2 linked regions of the Mytilus edulis genome follow. The main gene of each other region encodes a partner of the protein of the gene in region 2 in a complex. Links are inferred from orthologs where the notes say so. Each region holds a gene or a part of one and is shown on either strand. Other genes may lie near its edges.

The links.
Region 1: DNA polymerase alpha subunit B-like (region 2) and DNA primase small subunit-like share a complex: the UniProt entries of both Drosophila melanogaster proteins name them as parts of the alpha DNA polymerase complex. The link is inferred for Mytilus edulis from reciprocal best matches to the Drosophila melanogaster genes PolA2 and Prim1.

The regions. Positions count from the first base shown.
Region 1 is NC_092357.1:7,812,686-7,823,882, forward strand, and holds the start of DNA primase small subunit-like, read left to right. Parts: upstream 1-6,498; 5' UTR 6,499-6,548; coding exon 6,549-6,669; intron 6,670-11,197. UniProt on the Drosophila melanogaster protein: Catalytic subunit of the DNA primase complex and component of the DNA polymerase alpha complex (also known as the alpha DNA polymerase-primase complex) which play an essential role in the initiation of DNA synthesis.
Region 2 is NC_092346.1:69,958,741-69,969,865, reverse strand, and holds the start of DNA polymerase alpha subunit B-like, read right to left. Parts: upstream 4,555-11,125; 5' UTR 4,493-4,554; coding exon 4,408-4,492; intron 672-4,407; coding exon 547-671; intron 1-546. Other genes in the region: uncharacterized protein, read left to right, coding at 4,729-4,890, 7,025-7,229, 7,829-7,995, 9,560-9,857, 10,154-10,227, 10,823-10,876. UniProt on the Drosophila melanogaster protein: Accessory subunit of the DNA polymerase alpha complex (also known as the alpha DNA polymerase-primase complex) which plays an essential role in the initiation of DNA synthesis.

The DNA.
Region 1 (11,197 bases), on a different chromosome or scaffold from region 2:
TCAAAATGGGGGTTCTTTGACATAATTTTTGTACCAATAATAGCAAATTAACATGCAAAAACTGTCTAAATTAACTTACAAAGAGATGATCAATGATGAATAGCCTATTCCAGGAACTAATTGAATCATATATAACTCAGACATCTATCATATATAACATCCATTTACTTTTAACATGAAAACACCAACATTAAAAACTCCCTCCTATTTCAAATTCAAAGAAGCAGGAAGTCTGATTTTAGTACAGGGAGCATGCTCAGTATGCTATAATGTTTGCGGCGAAGTTCCAGCAAACTTTAGGACTCCTTTAAAGTTTGTTTACAAATTTCCTTCAAATTTAAGAAAGTTAAGAGTTTGCGGCAACCTTGCGGCAAACTTTTACATATGTTTGCCGAAAGGTCGCTGCTAGCGGCGAACACTGGTGAACAACTTTCAGGTCTTCTGGCGAACTAAAAAGATTGCCGCAAGGTTGCTGCAACCTTACCGCAAGGTTGAAGCAATGTTTCTCTTTTCATATATATGAAGGTATTTTGTTATTTTTAAAAATTTTGATTCAATTGTATGTTTGTGAGTTTAGTGCAGTGGCAGATCCAGAAATTATCATAAGTGGGGGCCCACTGACTGACCTAACAGAGCAACCAAATTTTTTTAATTGTGGCGATTAAAATTCGTCATTGGCGAAAGAATTTGGCGAAAGAAATATATAACGATTTATTTTCAGCCATCTTGTTTATTTACTTTTTTTCGGGTTTCTCGGACTTTATCCGATCAGACAATTATACTCTGAATTCACTTTGAACTCGTTAAGATTTTAACAGAAAATCAATAATCAGCTGATTGCATTTATAGCTATCGACATCAAAGGACTAATTAATAAAGGTGTTGATTGTATTGTATTATATGACAAAATGATATGGATAAATGGCGTCCGTCACATGTCTCAAAAGGGGTTTATTAACCACTTGGCGATGCACGTGTTTGAATCAAAATTTTGACGATTTCTCTCGATCCTTCTTTTCTCCTTCTTTTAATGATAACCCGGGCGCCCAGCCAGAAAAGAAAACTGTTGTTATGACGAAAAATGTTGAAAAGCAAGAAAGGTCTCTGATTTAAAACTTTATCATTTAACTTTGATATAGATAATTGATTAGAATAGGTACTTTAAAGTCGTTTCATTGACACACGTGTTTCAAGCATTATCATAGTTTTACTTATTTACGATGGTCTAGGATAGAAAAAAGAAAACTGTTCTTATGAAGAAATCTATTCAAAAGGTTGGCATCTAAAAAAAAGACAAGTTTTAAAAGAAAAATATAAATTTGTGTTACTTGGCGAAAAAATAATAAAGTCGCGAAAAAATATATTGTTTTGGCGAAAGAGGTGGCGAAAAAAATAATTGACCCAGGGGAAACCCTGCATTACAGTAATACTTGTTTAGCATGTTCAAGTCATGCTGAAGACTGACTATGGGTGTTGCATTTTCTCTACAAAGAACAAGGAAGAAGACCCGACCCGTTCAAGCATGACTGGTGACCTTGGGCTGTTTTCTACTCTTTGAATGGTTGTTGTCTCTTGACACATTCCCTCTTTCCTTTATCTATTCTATTATTTCATGGCTCTTTGAATATAAATATAAGGAGATATAATATGATAACCAATAAAGACAAAAAAAGTAAAATCACAAAATTCTGAACTTAGAGGAAAATCAACTTTCTAATCATGCTAATACAGACCAAAGGTCACTAAATGGCCTTCAACAATATGCAAAAAAAATTCTCACTTTTGGACAATCAGCTATTATACTGAAAAGTTGTTAATCAAATAAATGAAAACTTATTGATAGGAAGTTCATTATTGAAAAATAATTGATATCTTATTTATCTACTGTCACTCCTTTCTCTGTGACATTTATATATCATTGTATAACCATTTATTGTTAGTGTTACTTGGTGCTAATAACATGTGAATTTGATCTGTACTTGTTTGTCGGTTGTATTAACAGTCATGCATGACAGTTGTGATACACCTTATCGCTATTTGTCCGCCATTACTGGATATCACACAGGTTCCCGTAAAATTTTGACGATATAAAACAAAATATCTGACGCCACAATGGAAAAGTGATTGTTGTATGCGTCAAAAGTTCAAGCGAAGGCAAATAGCGATAAGGTGTATTGTAACTACCAAACTGCAGTTTAAAAAATTCAAAATTAATGGGTTTGAAAATACAGTAATCATTATTTTACATTAATCTCATTTTAAAACTGAGGAAATTGAAAGTAAAGAATTATTACATGATCAAAGCTGTCAGGGCCTATAACATACATGAACTGCAGTTGCCCCTCCCTCCCCCTGAAAAAAGGGTGAAGCTTTCCATACATATGTTTGCTTAGAATCATCATGTATGACAGATGGAAATTTCATAACATAAGGTATATGCATACAAGGTATGACTTTTGCGTTTGAAAAGGTTTATACTTGGTTTTCAAAGTTTAAAGTGTCTGTTGAAGTATTAATTATCACCTATTTGAACTAATAATTGTTTAATCAGCAATTCTACAGTGATAAATTTACCATTTGAAAACAATTGAGAGGATATGATTAGAAAAACAAACCCCAAGCTGATCAATACGACTTGAGAAATTCCCTTTCTTGATATCCAGCTTAGATGAAGCCATTTGAATATTATAAAACATTAAGGTCAGAAAAATGAGAAATCATTATGCTAAAAAATGTTAATTTCTTTCAAACGTCGTAAGGTTAACAATACACTGCTACAGTGGGTTACAAAACCAAACACAGAAGCTGACAAATACTTTATTGTTGGTCCTACATGTTCTGCAACATCATCAGGCAGTCTGGTATAGACCCATCATGGAAAAAGACTTCTCCTTGGGTTTTACACACAGATAATATGAGATTATATGAATTTACAATGGAGAAAAAGACTCTTCTTCTATATCCAGACAACAACATTAACAAACAAAGGGGTAACTTCCACGAGCATGATGAGGACATTATTACAAGAGAAAACATCAATAGCATACATGTAATATAAGAAAAACACATAACAAATTAATTACAAACAAACCGTGCACCGCGACAAAGTTACTGAGAATCGTCGAAAATTACCTGCTTACCACAGCGCTATCAAAAAAATCCTGGGGAGAACACTGAATCACATTAAAATTTTAACCAATTTGATGCTTACGGTAGCCGAAAATTATCGTTTTACGACTGACGGTAAAGGGAATTACCACCTCTGAGCTCTCATGAATCGTCAGAGGTCTAATTTAAGAAATTATCAACACCGTAATTTCTGGAAAAAAACATTAATGTGATTCATTATTAAAATTCAGTTGATTTTATATCAAAGAAAGCGTACATTTCAACATAAAATTGAGAATGGAAATGGGGAATGTGTCAAAGAGACAACAACCTGACAATAGAACAGACAACAGCAGAAGGTCACCAACAGGTCATTAATGCAGCGAGAAATTCCTACACATGGATGAAACAAAAAATACTGTACACATCATTTGTCAATTTTTTTTACCGTTATTCTTCAATTAAGGTAGCACAATACAAAGATTTTTTCACTCCCAATCAGACAACTTTAAACTGATGTAATTCATTTTGAACATCCTTCTTTACATTTTATAAATGAGATACCAAAAGAAAGACATGAAAGAAGAAAGATTAATCTTTCAAATTGTGATAATTTCATTATGACATAATTATTACATAATTAATTATTATGTAATTAGTTGCTATATTGTGATGTTCACACTTGAACGAATTTAGCGTCTTTGTTCTTCATAGCATCCCAAAATATTTTACAGATTCTTGTACAGTTTTGGAGGTCAAACTGTGTTGTGCAAGAATCTATAAAGTATTTTGGGATGCTAGGAATAACAAAGAAGCTAAATTCATTCAAGTATGGACATCACAATACCGCAACTAATTACATAACAATTAATTATGTAATAATTATGTCATAATGAAATTATCACAATTTGAAAGATTAATCCTTCTTCTTTCTTTTGGTACCTCATTTATAAAATTTAAAGAAAGATGAGTGGAATTACATCAGTTTAAAGATGTCTGAGTGGGATGAAAAATCTTTGTATTGCGCTACCTTAAGACCGAATCCGGGTCCGTTCGCCCTGATTCACGTTCGCCATACTACGTGTTCGCCCTGATACCTGTTCGCCCAGGGTCCATTCGCCCAGATTTATATTTTTTTCTGTTTGTTGTCCAGTCGCATAATTTTAAGTATTTGAACAAAATATGTTAAAGTTTGTTTACAAATTGACAGAATATTTATATTGCCGCAATCATTTTATAATTTTCTCTTTGATTTACAGAGTAGAATTGGTATGTACAATGTATTTCTCTTTATTGATATTTGTTAACAAAATAATTGTATTCAGTCAATCATGAATGTATGCAGTATAACTGAGACTAGGACTGTCTCTGAGTATAATAATGAACTTGTAAATCCGTTTCATGATTTACAGTTCGTACATCATTGTGTTTATTAATTTCAAGCTGAATATTTTATCAAAACAAAACGTTTGATTTTTATTAATAATCCATCAAAAGACAAGTATCTACTGAAGACATGAAAAACCTCTCCACTTATTTTCGAAAACTCTTGCGACAAATTCAACACCTGCCAGACAGAACTGCAAACGTAGCTTCACATCTTCTTCTTGGACGGATTACCATTGAATCAGAAATACATAAACGAATACTGAAAACCTTTGGAAATATCATAAGAAATGAAAACTCAATTGAAAGAAAATTAGCTATCAGACAGCTAGCAACAAAATCTCTACAATCTGGTAGCTGGTTTACAAAAACTGTTGAAATTGCCAATATATATGACTTACCATCGCCATATGATATTATAGATAACCCACCCGGGAAACAACTTTGGAAAAACCTGGTAAATAAAACCGTCAATGATCACTGTATAAAACAAATGATAAGTGAAGCAAAATCGAAATCTACTCTGTCTCGCCTAAATTATGAAAATGTCAAAGAAGGGAAAATACATAACATATGGAAAAGCTGTGGCACAAATCCATATGCCATCACATCTGCCTCCTTAAAGGCAAAGTTAGCAACAGGGACAATATACCTGCAATATCATCGAGCTAAATTTAGCAATGGACATGTGTCGCCTATTTGCCAGTTATGTGCAGAGGAAGAAGAAGATATACTTCACTTCATATTAAAGTGCTCTAACCTACAATATATAAGAGATGATTTTCTGCATATGATAGGCGAGGTATTGACAGTAAACCTAGAGGATCAGGATCTTATCCAAGAATTAATAACCAATGACGAACATTTGTGTCAGCTAGTTATCGACTGCTCAAAATTTAGATTTTTAAATGAGAATGCACAGAATAGAATAGAAACATTATCGAGAGGTCTGTGTCATAAATTATTCCAGCAACGGGCAATATTAATTGAACAGTGATTAAAAGCGTGTAATACCGAGCTGAAAAGAAGGGTCATACCAAAAGATAGAACATTTTGTTATATATAGTGTATTTACATTTTACCGTTTTTAATATGAAAGAAGCAACTTTTATATTTGAATGATGGATGACTTTTTATGCATACCAGAATAGTGTAAATATTGGTGATAGGGTCACATCCCCCAGAGGAGATAAATTAATATCTCTTTTATAGTTTTAAAGGTTTTATATATCTTTTAAACATAATCTTGAGGATTTTAACCGCGAGTGATATTACACCGATTCTAGGATTGGTGGTTCTCCTGACATAGGAGGGAGTTGCAGTACAGGTAACAGGTAACAGGTATCACAATAATCAGTGATCCGAATTATTTTGTCATTGAACAATTAACGATCCTAAACAAGCCATAAACTTTTAAATATTTCCCTGTTTCCATAAATTTCAAGAATATATATACCATAGAAATATCTGAATAAGATTTTTCAACTTCAATGCCTTGAATATCGATATTTTTTAGTAGGGCGAACGGACTCTCTGGGCGAACGAACTCAGGGCGAACGTACCCAGGGCGAACATGTTATAAGGGCGAACGATCCCGATACCCTTAAGACCCTCATAGGCCTATAGTAACTTGTGAAAAACTTGTGGTCACAGGGAGACAACTCACTTTTAAAAATAATTAATGTCATGATATGGAATAACTGCTTAAAATAAATAAAAGTTTTCATCAAAATCTCAAAGCTGACTATTAAACTAACATTAAATATTAGATGACATCTTCTTATTCGTTGTAGTTTTGTTTTTTTGGCAGTGTTTTCTTACTTTCTTCTTTTGTGGAAATTCTTACGACCAAATTACGGGAGTCGTAAAAGTAGAATTTATACAATATTTAAAATCAGTTATATAGTTTTAAAAGATATTTTTCAATGCTTATCTTTCGAAAATCTAGTATTTCAGTATTTCATGATAAGGTAAAATAAAATTATGAAGTCGTAAATTCTTATTTCCGGTAAATAGATTTTGGCGCTAAATTTTGTAAACAAAAATTTGATACCATGCCAGGAGAAGAAAAAGAGCACGTTTATGATGCAGCTTCATTGCCAGATTTATTGCCCATTTATTACAAAAGACTTTTTCCTTATGGACCATATTTCAAGTGGCTCAACTATGGCGGGGGTATGTTTTTTTTCCAAGGGCACTTCTCTCTGTGTCAATAGGGGTTTCTTCTTATCATATGGTAGGTACGGAAAGTGATTTTTTTAAAATTAACTGATCTAAGAAAACTTTACCTCATTTTAAAGGCATTGTGAAGACATTTTCAAAACAGTTTCACTTTTATCAATACACATAATAACAACGAAGAAATAGCAAATTTTCAAAATGATAATTTTTTACTATTCTGGAAAAACTGTTTCCTCTCTTTAAAAAATAATAAAATATATTTTTTGAATCATTTGGGTTATAATTTTGTTTATATTGCTTCTTTTACATCTTGTTGGTCTATTTCAATCCTCAATATTAAGTTTTTTGGTCAAAATAGATACATAAAGTATGAAAATGTCAACCACTCGCATGAAATTCTATCGTCCAAAGTCACATGATGATACCTTTATATTTTCCTTTTTTCAGAGCATCAGTTGGTATATTGAAAATGTAAAGAAAACTTTATAAACACTTGAATGTAAAGAAACAAAATTTAAATATGAATATTACTCTTTATATACAAATGTATATGTTTGTGTGTGTGTATAAAAAAGAAGATGTGGTATGATTGCCAATGAGACAACTCTCCACAAGAGACCAAATGACACAGAAATTAACAACTATAGGTCACCGTACGGCCTTCAACGATGAGCAAACCTCATACCGCATAGTCAGCTATAAAAGGCCCCGAAATGACAAATGTAAATCAATTTAAACGAGAGAACTAACAGCCTAATATATGTACAAAAAATGAAAGAAAAACAAATATTTAACACATCAACAAACGACAACCACTGAATTACAGGCTCCTGACTTTGGACAGGCACATACATGTACATATAGAATGTGGCGGGGTTAAACATGTTAGCGGGTGCCCAATCTTCCCCCTGACCTGTGACAGTACAACATAAGAACGAACTATAAAAATCAGTTGTACCATGAGAGACCAGAAAGTTTTGAAATATGTCATCTGTCTTTGTATAGTCATAATGGTTTTAGAATGTTCCCTTTTCATTAACATTCTATTTAATGAAATATTCTTATTCTTATATATAGCATGTATAGTGAATGCTAATATAAATAAAAATAAACAACAACCTTCTAACAATTATTTTACAGGACTAAAATACCTGTTGCACTGAAAAACAATGAAAATAATATAACATTATTTTTATTCGAGAAATTTCAAACAAAATAATTATGTCAGATCACTGTAAATACTTGTATGTATACAAGTAAAGTAAATTCATAACTGTATATCAGTTACAATATTTATACAGTGAAATCTGTAAACCAATCTCATTCAGGACTGAAGTTCAAAATGCAATACAGTATTGAATGTGAATAGTATTCCCAGTGAACTGCCGCTACTGCATGGATTCCTATGTATGTTTTTAGTTGAACATGTTGAAAATACATATATTGATTGTTGTTAAACCACATTATTCATTATCCTTACTATCTCGTGTGCAATGGCAAGTGGTTGAACTATCTTTAAATCGCAGTAAACTGGCTGTATAATGCAAAAAAAACTATCTCTGCTGATTTCCAATCAAAACTAAACCAAAAGTTGTCCATGCAAGGGAAATAACTCTGTATACACAAAAAGGAGGGTTATTTATAAAAATTTATTTTGATATGAACACAGCTTTCTAGATTTATTTATTGGACCTAATTATTTAATTAATATATTAAACTTAATAAAAAAGTACATTTTATGACTGTATAACATTCCCTTGTATTTTTTTGAAACGAATGTAACTTTCAAACCCTTGTTTGTACCTCAAATATTTCATCGTATTCCCGAAAATTATAATATACAGAATCATGAATATTCATATAATATCTATCAAAAGCAATCAAAACCTTCTGAGACTTAACAAGTTAATAGAAGGCCGTAATCGGAGGTCACCCAAAGATTTTATTTTTACACACATCTGGGAACAATTATTTAGGGTAATTTGGAGTTATCTCCCATTGGTTTGCCATACCTACATATGGTATCCATGCAGTTACCCATCAGATTTTTGGGATACGATTGCTGTCAAGCAATCTGTAGACTTTTACCATTGACCCTATGATACACTCCCTCACGTCATTCGTTTTATTCTAAACATTCAGCAACATCTCAGATTCTTATGATTGTCTTGCTTTAAAAGGTAAAAACAAGCAAAACAATTGAACATAAACAACTTTCCTGTAATGTTTTACTCATAATCTTCATGTGTGATATTTTCCTTGACTTATATGCATGTTTTTAACAATACGGAAAATCAGAATTAAACAGTATTTATATTTAGTGTTTTTATAAATTTAGAAACACGTCAGAGGGAATTCCCAAATTTTGATAACTTGCGAGAGTTCTCTGAAAGCCGATCGATAATTCTATTTCTGTCACAAGAACTGAAGTGGAGTATTTCTATATTTTACCGTTATGAAACTGATATTTGATACTGTACTCTCATAAAGAAATGGAGAACCATTCATCATATCATTTAATAAACGTTCTTGTTCCAAATTGCAAGTGGCGGTTTGTTTATGTATTTTAAATGCCCATGCGTGGTCTCACTAATTAGAGACAAAAAGAATTGTAGAGACAAAAAGCGTCAAGAAGCGACAAGAAGAATAATATTAGCAACAAGAAACTATTTAGCGACAAGAAAACATTTTTTTATTTATATTTATACTTATTCGAAATAAATATTAAAAAGATATGCAAAAGAAAACAATTTCAACGACAGGAAAATTAATTTTGATAGGGAAAAAAATTAAACTTGTAAATCTAATTCAGTTGCTACATTTATTTACATGATATTTTATATAAGGTATCACAGGAAGTATTACCTTTACCCTGTCGTTTTATGGTATTACTTTTACTTGTGTTTTAGAACAATAATATATTTTGATTTTTATTTGTTTTTAAAACTATTTTTGTACAATATATAATTAACTTGCAAAATGCATTATTTGTGCATAATTGTCCAGAAAATACATATACAAATTGTGAAATACAAATTAAGAACTGAAATCAAATAAGAGGAAAACATAACTAAAACGTGAATATTTTTCATCATTTTATTTAGTGTATTGTCTCATTTAACGATATTTATCATGTTTATGCATATAGATTGAAGATTAAAGGAAACTGATGACAATCTTGAGTTTTCAACAGTCAGGCGTTCACTATTCGGTACAATAATTGTATATTCTGGTGCATGTAATAGATGAAGGTGTTAATGGATGTTATTGTAGCAATTAAACAAAGGACACGCACCTAGTTAATCTCATTTGATGCTCTGAATTGTGTATTACCTTAGAGTGAAGCCACAGCTAATGTTGGTCCTATCAGGACAAATTAATTGTACAGTTAGGAAGGAAATAATATTTCATGTTTTTTTTTTATTAAATCCTTCAAAAGGAAGGTGACAAATCTTTGTTTTTATTTTCATTTTATAGCGTTTACATTTCCTTTGCTCTTACACATGTTTAATTTCTTCATATAAAAAGTGCACAATCTCTTCCTCGAATTTTTTTTATTTCTTCATCTTTCAATATAATCCTAAAAAAATATTTTGATGTATGTGATAACAAAATGTATTCTTGTCGCTAAATAGCTTCTTGTTGCTTTTTGTCACTAATTTTTTTTCTTCTTGTCGCTTCTTGACGATTTTTGTCGCTAATTAGTGAGACCCCACATGCGTGTAGTTTTCCTGATTTCAAGGGGTATCAGATTGAGTGATTCCCCGCTTCATTGATTAATTTGAAACTCATGGGATTCGTTCTATGTCTGTCTGCATATGGAGGGCTATTGTTGTTGCACAATTTTAAATCATATGCATAATTTAAATTAAAATAAATGTTTCATCGTAAAGATTTCCTATAACACCCCTTCAGCAGAAATGGAATCTTCCATATCGTTTCGAGTTGTCTCCCTTTTCGAAGTATTGGTCAAGAAGAAAAACTCATTAATGCCGATAAACGTCGTATTATATTAAGAACGATCTCAATGTAAACAGAGGAGTGTGTACGGAAAGGAGTCATGCCATCTGACCCAAAGGAACTTCAATAACTAAAGAGTAAGAAATGGGGTTCCTCCTAAACTGGTCCGCCGTTCTATATATAGCTTCGCACCGAAGGTCAGTGTAACGATAAGTGAACACAACAGGGGTCCAGTTTAGGGTTCCTCCTAGAATTACGGTGATAAGATACGGATGCAAGTTAACTCGTACCGCGGCATTGGAACCAAAAAAGTTAACTTGTACTACTGAGAAGTCGTACCATTCAGAAAAATATATTAAAAAATATGTTTTATGGGTTTCTGTTTGTAAACTTAATAAAAATAAAGTTGAATTACTTGAATTTTACACAGGAGTTAAATGAAAACTTAGACAAAAATAAAGAATGTGTTAAAGCATTAATGTTTTAACTGATCTTTCAAACTAGAACATAGGCGGATCCAGGCCCCCCCTTTTTTCGTGGAAAAAAATTGGTTGATTATAAA
Region 2 (11,125 bases):
AAAGGAAAAAATCCAATATTTCATTATCTTAAAACAATGTCTTTCCAAAATTTTGAGTTATTTCCCTTTGAACAGAAATCTAATAATTTAAAAGTATTTCATTAAAAATTTAATTCTAGGAAAAGTTATAAAATGAGTTATTTCCCTTTAAACAGAAATCTAGTAATTAATAAATATTTCATCAAAAAATTTATTCTAGGGAAAAGACTAACTGAACAAGGAGAAAAGCTAAAATCCTGAAAATCGAACTTGACCTGTAACTTGTCATGATAACTCAATACACCAAATATCATATCAATATCTTCAAGCATGAAGAAAAAAAGTCTGAAAAAATGATTTGCCGGACTGACTGATGGACAGACAGACAAAATGCAAACCTTAAGTCCACTTCGACTTTATTGGTAGTGGACTAGTAAATCTAGAACAGATTATTGGATATCCTTATCATATATATATACAATGCATGAACTATCTTATTTTTAAGCAAAGTCAACATTTGTGATGTTCTTTTTACAATTTACAATTTCTATGTATAAAATGACTCACTTCTCTGTCTAATTGGTCTAGAGAATCTAATGTCATTTGTACACCTTTGTGTGTGCTGGCAAATGCTACCCATTCTGTAACTATCTTTTCTGCACCCAAATTGTACTGTACACACAATTCTTGTACTGAAATAAGACATCAATTCAATTCAAAACATATATAAATAACGAACAGTTGTATGTTAAATAATTAACAAAGTACATTGTACTTTTGAATACTGTAAACTTACTAATTATTGCAAGTGATTTATTTTCAGTACTTTCGCAAGTCAAAAACTATCGCAAATATAAATCTTCGTGAATATATAAACTTGAACATGTTTTTTTTAATTTAAAAGCATCCCTATAAATAGCAATATCAGGGGGAAAACTGGGAAAGTTAAAAATACTTAATTTAATTTTGATTTATATTTTGTTTATTGCTAGTGGCATGCTTTTTTTATGCATACAATGAAATCTTGATAAACCTTTTGAAAGCTCATTTCAACTTGTGACAATAGACCACTTTTGAGTTCATCTGTCACCGGAAAAAAACTTGTCAATTAGACACGCCTTTGTGACCTAATTTACCAGATAGAGGGGTGGCCTGTATCCCTGCACTACCAACATTCATCAAGCGTCATAGTGATCATCATTCTGCAGGATAAACTAGAAATAATGTTTGTTTTGTAAGTACTTAATCACAATTCCCTAATGACAGCAGAACTGATTGTCAAATCATGAAATGAGAATTAAGTTTGCCGAATAAAACATGCAATATAGTATTATACATTTTTTGTACATGTTATTTTCCAACCACTCGCTCAACATAGAAATTGAAGTGAGGATGCCCCTAAATGCATGAATGATGTTCACTAAAACCAGAGTTTTTGACGGAAATGCATGGAACTCGAAAGTTGTCTATTCTGATATCTGTGGAAATTTATTCATTATCAGAATTAAGGGACTTTATGTCAGGTAAAAAAATGTTTGTAATTCCAGTACTTTCAAAACATGTGTGGTTGTTTGATGTATTTTGTTGGAAAAACCTGTTTTCCATAAAACCTGTTTTCCATCATCAAACAAGCTGTAACTGCTTGTAAATAACTTGTAAATGATTTAAGTACACATCACAGTTGTGAAAATAAGTCTAAATCACACACAAAAAAGTAAGAAACTTAGTGTATGTTTAAACCGAAAGTTTGAATTATAATAAATCAGAATGGCACATGTAAAAGAAGAATCAAAGAACTGATAGCTCTGAGGTGGAAGAAGGTGAATAAAAGGAAACTTGAATTACCATAAAAGCAGCCCCACTAATCCAGCCTGCTTTGTTCCATTATCGTTATGACATAATTTTTTTTCTTCAAACAAGAATGTGTCATAAGTACATGGATTTCACATCCGTACAATCATTTTCTATGTTCAGTGGACTGTGAAAATTAGGTACATGTAAGTCTTTAATTTGGCAGTAAAATTAGATAGATCATATGATAAGAAACACATGTGTACTAAGTTTCAAGTTGATTGGATTTGGACTTCATCAAAAACTACCTCGACCATAAATTTTAACCTGAAGCAGGACAGATGGACAGACCAGAAAACATAATGCCCATGCCCTGTTTGCAGGATTCTAGTTATTAAATCGGTAGAAAAGATGAACATGTATTTAGCAGACCAGGGTTTATTTTCTTGTGCATGAATATTAGATGCTTGTTGAAATTTCCAATTTTGAATTATGCACAAAGATGGACCTTTGACAGATTGGGAACAACACTCCAAATGAGGGGTAACCCTCATTGGAAGAACAATACAACCCACTGTAAAAAATTAGCACCTTTATATTCATATTATTTGATGAAGAACTATGCATCTATCAAGTATTCATGTCAAAAGAATTTTGTGATGTTTCTAAACTTATATCTTCTTTATTAGTTTGACCCCTCATTTAGAAAATTGTTCCAAATATAATGAATTTTCCCACTTTTGAGTTAAAAATTTTCTTTCTTTTTTTTCAACAGTGAAATGACCCCTTGTTTTAGGTCCCTCATTTAAGGGACACCACTCATAATATGGGGGGAGGGGGGGGGAAGTCCCAACCTGTCTGTTGGTCTTTGTGAAAAAAGAATAGTATGTTGTCCTTTAAATGATTTAATTGAATACAAAAATAAAAATATGTTACAACAAGTATTATGTCAATAAACATGATAAATTAGTGAAAAACAAGAATGTGTCCATAGTACACGGATGCCCCACTCGCATTATCATTTTCTATGTTCAGTGGACCGTGAAATTGGGGTCAAAATAACAATTTGGAATTATAATTAGAAAGATCATATCATAGGGAACATGTGTACTAAGTTTCAAGTTGATGTAACTTTAACTTCATCAAAAACTACCTTGACCAAAAACTTTAACCTGAACTTCGCACTATCATTTTCTATGTTCAGTGGACCATGAAATTGGGGTCAAAACTATAATTTGGCATTAAGATTAGAAAGATCATATCATGGGGAAGATGTGTACTAAGTTTCAAGTTGATTGGATTTCAACTTCTTCAAAAACTACCTTGACCAAAAACTTTAACCTGAACTTCGCACTATCATTTTCTATGTTCAGTGGACCATGAAATTGGGGTCAAAACTATAATTTGGCATTAAAATTAGAAAGATCATATCATGGGGAAGATGTGTACTAAGTTTCAAGTTGATTGAACTTCAACTTCTTCAAAAACTACCTTGACCAAAAACTTTAACCTGAAGCAAACGGACGGACGCACAGAGGCACAGACCAGAAAACATAATGCCCCTCTACTATCGTAGGTGGGGCATAAAAATACTGTGTATTATCTTTATGTAGTACTGCATCATTGAATTTTGTCACTCAGCCATGCTTTTATTCTGAAGCTGTGTAAGAACCTGCTTGCAGATGAAAATTCACATGCCATATTCACGATTTAATAACTAGATGATAACAACACAAGTTCAAAATCTAGCATGTTAGAATAATCTTCAGAGACAACGTTTTTGATTGGCTTATTAATTGATCATGCGAAATACAGAATTTGAGTGGCTGAACACGATTGCTTTACCTTGGAAACTAAATAAGGAACAGATGATTTTCACTAAATCGTGTTTTAGAGTTTTTTAATGATAGGCCTCCCCTTAATATCAATAATTTTTAATTCTCAGATCTGCAGTGACATCACAACATGTAACTGACCAATCAATGATTAGCATTTTTGTTATGTAAACAATGTTGATAGGTGATGCGGATAAGATTCCTCTAGATTTTCCATAGACTTATTGCAAATTAATTTAATTGATATATATCATAACCAGTTGAATATAGTAATTTTACTCTTTTAATACTGTTAAAGACACTATATACTATCTCCATTTTGATTTTTAACATACTATAACCTCTGGTTAAAAAATAATCGGCAATTTAAATGATCAGTTATCCCCTTCAAATAGATGAAAAATCTAGAGGATTCCGGATTTCATCACCTCCTGACAAATGTAAATGCCAGGATGTCCGGATCTGAGAATAAATGCAAAGACGTATTATAAAACGTCCTTGATAAAAGTAAAGAGAATGAACACGTACTATACGGGCGAAAGAACTCAGGACGAACAGACCAAGGACAGGGCGAACATGTAAACAGGGCTTTACACATTCCAATTTATTTACATAGTTAAATTTAAAAATCTTAATGGTGTGCCTATTTGACTTAATTCCGAACTGTTTTTCTCGTGTCTCTTAACTTTTTTCGATGCCTAATTTTTGGGTACCGAAGTGTCTAAATTTTTTTGATAGCCAAATGTTAGTGGAAGTGGCTTAAAACTGGCAATACGTAGTTTCTATCATTTAAAACATTTACATTTTTCAACAATTTGAGGACTACTGAATTCTACACCGAATACACTAAATTCATCTTCTAATTCTTCTTCTGAAATGAAAGGCATTTTTAAGTGTTGAAATGTTTTGTTGACAAAATTGTCTTTCCCGCGATTTTTTTTTCACTTCCTGTGACTAGGAGTTTAGCCTCAAACAAAATTATTTGAATCAAAATTTTAATTTAAAGTACATAATACCAAGAAGATTGAAAATTAACATATTTTTTCATACTCTTTAGGCTTTGTATATCAAAATTCATTATGTTCATAAAGTTAATCTCTAAATTAGCGTCCTAGGTTTCAAGATGGACGACTGCAACTTGGATAAACTAGTCATAAAGCCCGGAAAATTGTCACCTGCGTTTCATAAAGACACAACAGAATATAATGTGACCCTAGCGAGCAATGTGGAAAAAATTCACGTTGACCCTCTCACCAGTGATACGGGTGCATCATATTGCATTTCTGTAAGAAATTATAAAAAAAAGTTTGGCCCTCTGCAGGCTCTGTATGTATGATATAACCAGACATGCCAGATGCAACTGCATGCCAGTGATGTCTGAAATGACGAATTATAATTATTAAATAACATTGCAAACTTGTACCAATGTCAATTCACACCACTTAAATCAAATTTGTATCACTGTCTGCAAACTCTTGCCATTTCAAACTCTCACCCAGTCCGGGAAAACTCCAACTTACAGATTATAACAAATAAAATTGCAAACATTATTTTTAAAACATTTGTATACTTTGTAAATTGTCATTGTATTTTTAATGTTACAAGCTCGCGATAGTACAAGCTCTCAGCATTTCTAGTTAACATTGGTGTTAGTTGACTTTTAGTAGTATGAGTTGACTAATTGTAGGATAGAGTTTGCAATGGTACTAAGATTTTAACATGATGGTGCCAATTTTACATGACAGCAACATAGTTGACATGCTGCCTGAACTAAATAGGGAAAAGATTTAACCTTACCCCAAAATTTTGCTTTTAAGTTTATTAAATTCTTTATAATGGGACAAAGTCCCCTATTACGGTTGTCCAAATAATTATGACATCTTGAAAGGCTATTATATTTTTTTCTTTGACCCCCTTACATCGACGCATGAAGGTGTCAAAGCAAAAATTTAAAATAGCCTTCCAAGACGTCATTATTAGAATCATATTCAAAACAGTGTAGCTGTGGCCATTGATTGACGACCTTAAATTATTCCATTGACTGGGACAGATTAGGTGAACGTGTGTCTGTAACGACAACTGCTCACCACTTACTTATTATAGAATTTAAACTGTGGGGTCACCAAAGGTTCTTAACGCCTTTAATATTATAATAATTCGAAAAATTAACCAGGAATAACTTTATGTTTTAATTCTTATTAATGATATAAATCAAAACATCGTGTTATTCCTGATTAGTTTTTCTAATTACTTTATTTAGGTGTTGAGAACCTTTTGTGGCCCCACAGTTTAAGTGTCTTTAACAAGTACATAGTGAGCAGCGGTTGTTACAGTCAAACGTTCACATAATCTGCCCCAGTCAATGGGAGAATTTAAGGTCGTTAATCAATGGCCACAGCTACACTGTTTTGAATATGATTCTATTTGGACTACTATTACGGTAGAAAAATCCACTAAAATAATAAAAATTGGGAAAATTCCCTAATTTTTCATTCTACTTGGCCAAGTTTACTTAAAACTTTACAATAGACTTCAGAGTTAATAGATTATCACATGAATGCACTCGAGTTGATATTCAGAACAACTCTAAGTAACTCTAGGGTAGAGGCCCTGACAAAGCATAGAAAATAAATATTCTCATTGGTTTGACGTCATTCAAGAGTTTCTCGAGTTTAACCTTGGCTTGGTGAGAGTTGGAACCAGAGTACGAGGGGTTAACTCGAGTGGTTCAAGTAAAATCGTATTGTTGAAACCCGAGTAAACTTGACAGTTTGAATTGTTTCAAGTGAACTTGGCCCTAATGAACTCAAAATCATTAACTTTATTATTATCCCACATCTGTGCAGAAATCTACTTCTTTTTTGAGTAAAATATATCTTTATTAGTCTAGTAAAATATAAGAAGGAACACTGTACATATCAATTTCATTTTTAGTAATTCTTTGATATGAAAAAATGTTACCTGATGATAGCATTTCTTTGTTTACATTGAATATGACGTCATAACATCACAACTAAACTCCTTAACGACAGAACCAAAATTTTACTTTTATTCTGTCATTTTGGTTTTTTATACGACCGCAATTTTTTTTTTAGGGGATTTATATTCAACAGCATCTATATATATAGTGTATTGCTCAAAAGCAAAAGATTTTTTTTCAAGTTCATCAGACCACATTCATTCTGTGTCAGAAACCTTTAAATTTGCTGTGTCAACTATTTAATCACAATCCAAATTCAGAGCTGTATCAAGCTTGAATGTTGTGTCCATACTTGCCCCAACTGTTCATGGTTCTACCTCTGCGGTCGTATAAAGCTGCACCCTGTGGATCATCTGGTTCTGTCTTGCAATTAAAATAATATTTTGATATCTAAATTGTACAGCGTTAACTGTTATTTTTGTTATTGATTTGTTGACAGGGAAGTGATGGTGGCAAGGATGTTCCTCTTAAAGAAGGTCAAATCACTGATATTAAGATAGAAGTCACTTCTGAAGATTGTACCATAAAGAATTATTTTATACATGCCAAAAGATTATCTGCAAAAGATGCTACATTGAGTGATCTAAAGTTATCAGATGGAGACTTATCACCAGAATTTTCTGACAATGTATTTGAATATTCTTGTAAGTAAAGTATTCAAATCTGCCTTTATTATATCCCAGAAAATTTGAAAATTATGTAATTGCTACACCAAAAAATTGATAACTATCCAGTATATTTTTTCAAGATTAGATAATATCCAGTATATTTTTTAAGATTAGATTTATGGTCAATTTGACATCTTATTTTGATTGTACCTTCATCATGTTCATAATCGTTGTTTTTAAAAAAAAAATATATATAAAAAAATTAAATAAACAAGTATGTAAGGGAATTCATGAAAAAATTAAAAGGAAAGACTCTTAGTTATATTTTTATCATGTAAGTAAATGGCACATGGATTCTTTTTGGCAGCCAACAAGTCAATCTCAAGATAAACTTTATTTGCCTACATGTACGTGTATACCATAAATTTTAGTATTGTAATTTCACCTAATGTATATATTGAATTAGTTGAGAAATAGCCTTGATAATGCTTCAGTTTCTTCACTTAAAACTGGAGATAAACCATATGAGTCATCTGTTATTTTTCTGAAAGTTGTTTGACGCTTACTGGAGTCACAATAGAAGCTGCATTTTAAAAAAAATAATTAGTTACTTCTTTATTTGTTGAATACTTTAGGTTTATTACCCTGCAATTCAGACAAGGTGACAGTAACACCAATTGCACCTGATCCCAAAAATGCAGTTCTTGTATGTAAAGAAAAACCAGGGACATCTACACCTCTTAATGTAGGGGAGACAAATCTCCAGATAGAAGTTACATCAGCTGATGGATCTAACAAACAGGTATACTAAAATTCTACCAAAAACCATTGACAATTATTTCATTGTTAACAAGTAAAAACTTTCAAGAGATATGTTTAAAGAAGAAAAAAACACTTTAAACCTAATGTTAAAATTACTGGATCATTTTGTTATGTTTAAATTCATGTACATTTTGTACTTGAAATTGTTAATGTTATCATTTGCTACATTATTCTTTGTGCTTAGGCCATTTTTAGAAAACAAAAAATGATAGGATTAATATCAAGCATGATGTTTTTGTGCTTGTTTTACCTTGCATTTACAAATGTTTAGAAAGACTGACAGTACATGATTTATGTCAGTCAGGATTCTACTTCGTCAAATTATCTCCCCATTAAGCCAGTTCATTTTCACTATCGTAGAAATGGAAGCCATTGTAGGGATGACGTGCTGCCAATTTTGCCCTTGAAAACCGATAAATTTATCCACATAGCACCATTAAGATCCTTATATGTCAGTTGTATTTTAAAGACAAATGTATCTACTAGCTAATAAGCATCAGTTAATGATTTTGTCTGCATTGATTCAACTCAAATCTATTGTCTGATCGATTGTCAGGTGGAATTTTCTAAAATTCATAAACATTTCAAAAAAATTCTAATTAAATATTTCTTGGAAGGGCAGACTAAAAAATTTCACTTGTTGGAAAATATAAACTCTAGTTATCACACACAAAAAAATCTTTTTTTTTTCTCGAAGATATGCATTTTCATCATCCAACTTAAAAGACTGTCGTCAAGTACTTTTAGTAACAAAAATTAGCTATTCGAACACACTTACTCTGTTTTTGTGATTCATTAGATAGGTATTTCACTTGTCCCATATATTTTATCTTTCAATACTGTGATTTTTTTATGTTATAAAGTCAACCTGTAGCTTTGATATATAAAAATGATAGAAAACTGAAGCGAGATGATATATAAAATATTCTTGCTTTGTATGTTTTCAAGACAAAATATTCAACTCAAACACACCCTAACATAAAAAGATGCACTAGATTTTCTCTTTTCTACACAATTGTTACCCATTTTTTGGAATTTTTTCTTGAGTCACATAACGAAAGGGCAGACACGAAAATTACTGAACTAATAGATTGATATGTTCTCCGTCTGTGGTAATTTAAAAAAAAAAAATTCGGAGGTTATGCATTTTCTACATCCAACTTGATAGATACTCATGTCGTCGACTTGATATCTAATTGTTCTGCTTAACTATGTAAAAGATAAATTGAAAACTTATGCAAATGGTGTTATAAATATGAAACACTTCGTAATTGAGAAGAAAATTGTCATTTTATTTGTTTCTATAAACTTTTAAAATTTGTGTTACTATAGTAAACATTACAGTAAGCATTTATCGCCTTCTCTAACAAAGAGCTTCGATTCTTTTGTTCTATTTCAACTAGGTTTTTGCCTGATGTCAATGGCTGTTGTCTGTAATATAAAATATTTGTACTAGTATACTCAATTTGAAAATTCAGATTCAATTCAATATTTCTACGTATATATTGTTTAGTTTCATACTATATTTTACTATATACACTCAGACTTACAGTTTAGATATTATAAGGAAGCCACTACCCAGATATGTCAAGATAACAGATGATAATTTAGCACAGCAATATGAATGTCCAATATCGCTGAGTTCTTTATACAGACCTATAACTATCAAAGCAAATGACGAAAAACATACATATTCAGCACCAAATATTGATGCATTTACTCGTACATCTAAAATTGACCCTCTTAGTGGAATACCATTGACTGGAGAATGGAGAATTGTGGATTATGATCTGGATAAGAAAATGGCAAATGCTCAGTCTTGCATTCCTCTTACATATGGAGGTATTTAGCATAATTTTATTAAGTAATTACAAAAAAAATCAGGATTTTGCAAAAAAAACATAAAACATAATTTCCTATTCAAATTGTACATGTATTTATAAATAAATGGTTTAACCACAAGTGTATAATGCAAAATATTCCCCTTTTTCACAGAGTAAAATGTTAGAATTTCCAACTGACACTTTACATCTATGCTTTTTGACTTGTTTAAGAAGTATAAGCTTACTTTTCTTAACATTTGATTAATTTGATAAAATGAAGACATAAATAAATGTTCTCTATTTTTTTCTCTACAGGAACTAGTGAAACAAAGAAATATTCAGAATTAGGAAGTATTATCGATAAAACAAATGTTGCACCAAAACCACTAGTAAGTTATCTTTGGTTTTTTTACAAGCATTCAGACTGAAGGTTCAGTTCTATTTTAAATAATTATGACATTTGATTCAAAATATTGGTGAATAAATGCATGACTCATAACCGTATCAAAGTTATCTGCTTAAAATAATATCCTATGTTTTTATGATTATTTTCAGTTCTCCTGTACCTTTAAAATCTCATCTTTATATTAATGTTAAAAAAAAAAAATTACGCCAAACCTTATTTCAAGTTTTGTTGATTTTTTTTCACTTAAGTTAGAACTTCAGAAAGATTTGTTTTCACTATTGCATTGACATTTATAAACAGAAATGTTTTCTTTACAGTATAAAATTTAAGTTCAATCTATTTATGAGCTTTTTTTCACATATTTGAAAGGCTATAAAATTGACCTTATTCAACAGAATTCTGTTGGTTGATTTATTTTTACATAACAATTTTTCAAAGATTGTGGATGGCAGTTTTTATGTTCTATTTATTTATCAAATTATATATTTTCATCTAAAAGTCAACTGACTTATAAAAATAATATCGGTAAAATCACGCTTGAATTCACAGAATATTATCACAATATTGCATATTTTTAGGATGTAAAAGACATGTTCAAGGATGTGACAGCTCCTCTTAATCATACTGTTCAGGTAATTATGAATAAAGAATACTGTACATGTATATATAATTTATTTTCATGTGGGGTTCTACAGAAATATTATTTAGGGATTTTGTGTTGCATTTTAAAATGACATTTTTTTTTGTTTAAACTCATAAAAGGAATTTTGACCACAAACATTAGCTATCTGTATTTTTTAAATAATCTTAACTATGTTCTGTCTTAACTGTTCTACGAAAAAGGTATCATTCTTTTCATGAAACCGAAAAAAATTAAAATA